Xenopus tropicalis: one gene and its partner. The protein of the gene in region 1 interacts with the protein of each later gene in a pairwise test. Links are inferred from orthologs where the notes say so. Each region holds a gene or a part of one and is shown in the gene's direction. Other genes may lie near its edges.

Region 1 (3,841 bases):
GCATTACAGGAAGACCATCTCCCATAGACTCCATTACAAGCAAATAATTCTAATTTTTAAAAATGAGTTCCATTTTCTCTGTAATAATAAAACCGTACCTGTACTTGATCCCAACTAAGATATAATTACCCCTTATTGGGGCAGAACAATCCTATTGGGTTTATTTAATGGTTAAATGATTCCCTTTTTTCTGTAATAATAAAACAGTACCTGTACTTGATCCCAACTAAGATATAATTACCCCTTATTGGGGGCAGAACAGCCCTATTGGGTTTATTTAATAGTTAAATAATCTTTTAGTAGACTTAAGGTATGGAGATCCAAATTATGGAAAGACCCCATATCAAGGAAAACCCCAGGTCCCGAGCATTCTGGATAATGGGTGCCATACCTGTACAAATTTTTTATTTTGCACGGTCTATTTTACCCAGTTTAAATGTTACACTGAACTGACACCCGTGAGCTAAGCATTATTACAGCCGAGCCGACTGTTTCTATGATGCTATTAATTACACACATCATACCTAATTATCAGAATTTGTATTCATTGCAATAAATTAGGGTTTTTCTCTAGCCGCTAGCCAACCCCCTCTAGCCCCCATTTTCCCTTTAGCTGTCGCCATCCTCATCCTTCAATCTTCCGTTAGTGTCTCTCGCCTGAATCTAATTTTAGATGTTCATCATTTAACCCTGTGTGTTTTTAAATTTTTATTTTTTGTTTGTTTTTTTTTTTATTTTATTTCTTCAGTTGGCAATTCCGCAGGTAGTAGTGGCTCAAGGAGAGATTCCCTGTCTGCTAGCTCTGACTTGTACAAAAGGTCTAGCAGCAGCCTAGCACCCATAGGGCAGCCATTTTACAATAGCCTGGGATTCTCCTCTTCTCCGAGTCCAATAGGCATGCCTCTGCCAAGCCAAACGTCAGGACATTCACTAACGCCACCGCCATCCCTTTCATCACATGGATCCTCATCCAGTTTGCATTTAGGTAAAGCAAACTCTTACTTGTATGTTTTGTGTGTGTTTGTGACTGTGACCGTGCTGTGCTCTTTGTTTCTTTGTTACCATTTTGGCATTTGTAACTGATGATGTGCAGGTTTTTAATCAGAGCTTTATAGTGGGGTAAGAGATGCAGGATTGGGAGATTCCATTCTGCGGGGTTTGCTGAACTTCAAGCCTTAAAGTGGATGTCCACCTTTACATTAACTTTTAATAAGACATGGATATTCTGTGACAATTTTGCACCTTTTTTTTAGTTAGCTTTTTGTTCAGCAGCTCTCCAGTTTGGCACTTTAACAGCTGGTTGCCAGGGGCTTCTTTAACTTAGCAACGAGCCCGTCGCTTGAATGAGAGACTAATATAAATAGGAGTGAGGCTGAATAGAAAGATAAGGAATAAAAAGTAACAATGATAACATTATGACCTTACAGAGCAATTATTTTTTGACTTCTGACCCTGCAAATAATTAAAACTCCTAATTCTAATCTGCCAGTGCCTCATCCACATGTTGAGAAGGGGCTTTGGCTAATAAAATGCCATGGACTCCCCCAGAGTCGCAACTGTGCCGATTACATGTGCCGCAACTGTAGGCTAATAACGTACAGGGTAAGCACAATAACCTTGGAAGAGCCTGTGGTTGGAGGGCCCTGCTCTTCTGTGTTAAAGGGCTAGTTTACTTTTAGTAAGTAATTGAATGACCAGTTCTTAGCAACTTTTCAGTTGGTCTTCATTTTTTTTCTCTTTTTCTTCTGACTTTTTTCAGCTAAAAAATGGTCACTAATCCCGGCAGCCAAACAACTATTGCTCTGTGAGGCTACAACTTTTATTATAGTTACTTACCTTTCTATGCAGGTTCTCCTATTCATATTCCAGTCTCTCATTCAAACCACTGCAGGGTTACTAAGATACTTTGAACCCTAGCAACCAGATAGCCGCTGAAATTGCAAACTGAAGAATTGCTGCACAAAAAGCTAAATTAAAAAAAAAAACACAAACACACAGAAAAAGTGAAATTCCATTGCAAATTGTCTATCACTCTCTACATACTAAAAGTTAATATTAAGGTGAACAACCCCTTTTGTCTTTTTTGAATGTGCTTTTTCTTTGTATTATTGGTTACATAACCTGCAGCAGCTTCTGTGCTGGGAAATGGCATGTAGTGAATGTCGGCCTGATAGCTAATATCAAATGAGCAATGAGGTTCTGGTAGGCTCACTTTTAATTGGGTTACGTAAAGACTTACTATTGGTGTTACTCACCAGGGCTGGACTTTAAAGGAACAGTAACACCAAAAAATTAAAGTGTATAAAAGTAATAACAATGTAATGTACTGTTGCCCTGCATTGCTACAACTGGTGTGTTTGCCTCAGAAAGACTACTATAGTTTATAAAAGTTAGCTGCTGTGTAGCCATGGGGGCAGCCATTCAAAGGAGAAAAGGCATAGGTTACTTAGCAGATAACAGATAAACCCCCATTATATGGGACTTATCTACTAGTTATCGGTTATTGATTGCTTTATATGTTACTCTGTATGTCCAATGTATGAAACCCACTTATTGTACAGCACTGCGGGATATGTTGGCACTTTATAAATAAATGTTAATGTAATGTTATCTGCTATGTAACCTGTGCCTTTTTTCCAGCTTGAATGGCTGCCCCCATGGCTACACAGCAGCTTATTTATATAGTAGCTTTTCTGTAGCAAAAACACCAGTTTTTTGCAGAGCAACAGCACATTATATTTTAATTACTTTAAAACACTTTAATTTTTTGATTTTACTGTTCCTTTAAATTACTCTGTGCCCTTGTTGTGGTTTCTTCTACTTTTTGGCCCTAACTAGAAGCATGGGATGTAACCCCCCACCTCCCACCCAAATGGTGCTGTCCACTCGGCCACCCACATACACTGCTTCTGGCCTTTGTGGCACTGACTAGCCCTGCCCAGTAGTATATACGTTACCCACTTACCTGATCTCTGTAGTGCTGATGGGTGTTTGAGCATGAAAAACAGTTATTGTCTTTACCTTTTTGTTCCGTTTCTTTCCTATGCTTTCTACTAACATCCTGTCACTGGTCTAATTTCTTTTATCCCCCCCACCCTCCCCCAGTCTGTTTTTATCCTTTCCTCCAGCTTTGGGTATAGACTTTCTTTCTTTCCTACGACATTTGCCATTTTGGTAGTGCCTAAAGACTGACCCTGCTTTTTTCTACTGTGTTAACTTTGTCTTCCAATCAGCATTGAACCTGTATGCCCAGAACATTCTGCCTCTTTATTCCCATCATTAATGGGGGGAGGGGTTGCCAGACTCGTGCCAAAGAACAGCCAACATGGAGGACACTCTCCCAGTAGGGTTGAGGAGCTGATTGAACCTTCTTTTCCTCTTGGTTTGGATTCCAACCCCTCCCATATATAAGCTATGACTTGAGTTGTCATTTCCGCACTTTGTTTCTCTAAAGTTTTTCATTCATCCAGGTCGTGATATACAGTATCTAGTAGAATTAAGTTTAAAACAACTGGACTTTTCTGAGTTTTTGGGAAAACGTTTTACTGCCCATCCGAGCGGCTTCTTCAGTTCAAATGACTGGTAGGAAATTCCCGGCATTTAACATATTAACGTGCTTATTTTGGACCTAGAAGACTCCAGACTGGAAAAACCATCCCTGAACAGTGGAGGGGACTGCGACACCGCTTGTCATCAACATACAATGCTGCTTTGACACCCTTACCCCGGCGGTTTCACACTTTCCGTCATGTACTTTTAAACATTAACACCAGCCTCAATAAGAATCGTGGTACCATTGTGACTGGATCATACATACTTACCCCTGTCAGTTTTAGCCAAC
Region 2 (3,841 bases), on another chromosome or scaffold:
TGTTAATAAGTTTTTCCAGTTTTGTTAAGTAAAATTAGGTACCTTGGCTTATATTCAAGTATAAGTTTCCTCTTTTGTACATTTCTAGTTAAACTGGCAAGATCAGATGCACTTCCCTTGTACAGGTATGGGACCCATTTTCCAGAATGCTCGGGACCTGGGGTTTTCTGGATAAGGGATCTTTCTGTAATTTGGATCTCCATAACTTAAGTCTGCTAAAAATCATTTAAATATTGAATAAACCCAATAGGCTTGTTTTGCCTCCAGTAAGGATGAATTATATCTTTATCTATATTATTTGCTTATAATGGAGTCTATGGGAGATGGCCTTTCTGTAATTCGGAACAATCTAGATATTGGGTTTCAGGATAAGGGATCCTATACCTGTATTTTTCAGCAAGCCCAAAAAGCCTGAAATTCAACCTTTAAAGTGCAGCTGCCTCCAATGGACTTGGTCCATTTATTATGGTCAACCTTACTATTGGTAGGCCCTTATGATTGCTTTGTCTCTAGGCTGCTTGCCCTGAACTGTTGCCTTAACACTGGTCTTTGTTTTGCGTTAACTCCCTTTGTGGTGACCCTTGGAAACCCCCCATTACATTGCAATGCCTAGTTCATTACTCCAAACACTACGACCAGAAACACTCTATGATCCGCGATCATGACAGACAGTTTTACTTTACTCAGCGTTTGTGAATAAACCTCCATTGTGTTGGAAAAAAATATCAAATTTACCTTACTGGCAATCTATGGATTCTGCCAAATGCCAGAGAGGCTGCTGTAAGATGCCATAGACGGTCACTAGTGAGTGGGTGGGGGGGTTGTTTGAGTCTCTGTGTATTAGAAATGCCAGGGCCCATTTTAAATCTGTTTAACCAAAGTATATAGTGAAAAGGGACCCTTACCCAGAAACAAGTGTCCAGAAAGCTCTCTACTAGCTCTCTCCTTGGAGTCTGTTTTTAAATGGACAGTATACACATATGAAAGATGTGTATACTGTCAGCATAATGTTTTGTCTTATAGCAATACAGTATATACTTTTCGTGGTTAATCTTCAGAACGAAATGCATGTGTTTAAAGTTAATTTCTGTTTATAGTCTGCAACAGAAGCAAGTGCTGGAGAGGAGGCCGCCTCTGCTACAAGCCAAGCTTTTGTGTTGCCAGAGGGGAAAGTCATTCCCAACACCGTGTTTGTTGGAGGCATTGATATAACGGTACATTTTTTATTTTATTTTTTTCCCCACACCCCCATTTAGTTTAAGTAAACATACTTAAAGTATACCATATATATTATATTATAATTTTTTTTTTTTCTTAAGATGGATGAAATGGCGATTGGCAACCTCTTTGAAAAGTATGGCAAAGTGAAAGACTTAAAAATAATCACAGACAGAACAGGGGTGTCCAAAGGGTAAGTTGGTACCTTATTTTATTTTTTTTTGGGCAGTAAGTAAAAATTTACTGCCGGCCCCCGAACCGACTGAGCCCATTACTGCCGTTATAATTTGACTATTGAATTAGCCTGCATTTGCCCGATATCGCCCATCTGTAGGTGGGGATATCGGGAGAAGATCGCCAACCCCATGTAAAGGGGTTGTTCAATGTCCAAATTATTTTAAAACCACCAACAATAGTTAATTTTTCCCTTGCAATGACATAGGCAAACTCTGCATATCACAAATGTATGTATGTGTGTATGTATATGCAGGGCCGCCATCAGGGGGGCACAGGGGGGACAGTTGTCCCGGGCCCGGGCGTTTAAAGGGGGCCCGGCTGTGCTAGTTTTTTTTTTTACCTCGGGCCCTGTTACTTCCATTGCCGGCGTCCGCTGTTATGTCCCGAGCTCCCCGCTACATGTTCGCTTTTATAAGGTTGCGCCCTGTGCTCACTGACGTCACACGCACGGAGCGCAACCCTATAAAAGCGCACATGTAGCGGGGAGCTCGGGACGTAGTGGAAGATACAAATGAAGCCGGAGTTGACACAGGTGAGGAGCCGGAAGAAGCAGAAGGATGCTGGCGGCGGAGGACTGGAGGATGCTTGGGGGGACCCTGGGGGAAGGTGGAGGATACTTGGGGGGGGGGGGGGCCCTGGGGGAAGGTGGAGGATGCTTGGGGGGGGGGCCCTGGGGGAAGGTGGAGGATTCTTGGGGGGGGCTTGGAAGAAGCAGCAGGATGTTGGGTGGGGGAGTTGAAGGATGCTTAGGGGGCCCTGAAAGAAGCAGGAGGATTCTGGGGGGGGGAGCGTCAAGAAACAGCAGAGTGGGCCATTGTATGGGAACACTGGGGGAGAACCACCAATGTTTTAGGGGGCCCTGGGCTGGCTAGCAATGTATTAGTGGGTCCCTGCCACTAATGCAAAACGTAACCCTTGGCAACAAATGTTTAAGGGGTCCCTGGCTACCAATGTTTTAGGGGGCCCTCGCTACCAATGCTTGTGTATCCCTTGTATTGATGGTGGGGCCCAGAAATTTTGTTATGAGGGGCCCTGTGATTTCTGATGGCGTGTGTGTGTGTGTGTGTGTGTGTGTGTGTGTGTGTGTGTGTGTGTGTGTGTGTGTGTGTGTGTGTCATATACATACACACACTATATATATATATACATACACACACTATATATATATATACATACACACACTATATATATATATACATACACACACTATATATATATATATATACATACACACACTATATATATATATACATACACACACTATATATATATATATACATACACACACTATATATATATATACATACACACACTATATATATATATACATACACACACTATATATATATACATACACACACTATATATATATACATACACACACTATATATATATACATACACACACTATATATATATATATATACATACACACACTATATATATATATATATATACATACACACACTATATATATATATATATACATACACACACTATATATATATATATACATACACACACTATATATATATATATATACATACACACACTATATATATATATATATATATATATATACATACACACACTATATATATATATATATATATATATATACATACACACACTATATATATATATATATATACATACACACACTATATATATATATATATATATACATACACACACTATATATATATATATATATACATACACACACTATATATATATACATACACACATACACACACTATATATATATACATACACACATACACACACTATATATACATACACACACTATATATACATACACACACTATATATACATACACACACTATATATACATACACACACTATATATACATACACACACTATATATACATATATATATATATATATATATATATATATATATATATATATATATATATATTAGTGTGTGTGTGTGTGTTAGATTTTTATAGCACTGTCACAGGCACAGAAAGCAATGTCAGACTGACAGGAGTTAAGTCTGCTGCCAGTAAGGAACTTAAAAAAGCAACTGTAGTGTTTATAGGGGTCACTGCCCCCCCCCCCCCCCCCCTTTCTTCCTGCACAGGGTCTGTGCAGAAGTGAAGGATCAGCAGAGGGACTGAGGTGAATATCTCTTCCTGCCTTCATTCTGAACTGAGCTCTGTTGCACCTGTTGTCACAGGGAAACAGGCAGTAGCTCTAGGGTTGCTTTAGGGCCCCATGTCAATAGGTGCGGCACACTTGCATTGAAAGAATAGGGTGAATGTCACTGGGGGGGAAAAAATGGCAATTGTGCTCAATCACACTTTGCTTGCTGCACTCATAGCTCTATCCTGAAGGTATCTGATCTTTTTCTCATTAACC

Evidence for each region.
Region 2: the proteins of pum2 (region 1) and dazl interact in a two-hybrid assay, tested with the Homo sapiens proteins (2 studies listed by BioGRID and IntAct). The link is inferred for Xenopus tropicalis from reciprocal best matches to the Homo sapiens genes PUM2 and DAZL.

What each region holds. Positions count from the first base shown.
Region 1 is NC_030681.2:143,259,586-143,263,426, reverse strand, and holds part of pum2 (pumilio homolog 2), read left to right. Parts: intron 1-748; coding exon 749-985; intron 986-3,841. UniProt on the Homo sapiens protein: Sequence-specific RNA-binding protein that acts as a post-transcriptional repressor by binding the 3'-UTR of mRNA targets.
Region 2 is NC_030677.2:190,324,743-190,328,583, reverse strand, and holds part of dazl (deleted in azoospermia-like), read left to right. Parts: intron 1-1,097; coding exon 1,098-1,214; intron 1,215-1,319; coding exon 1,320-1,411; intron 1,412-3,841. UniProt on the Homo sapiens protein: RNA-binding protein, which is essential for gametogenesis in both males and females. Plays a central role during spermatogenesis.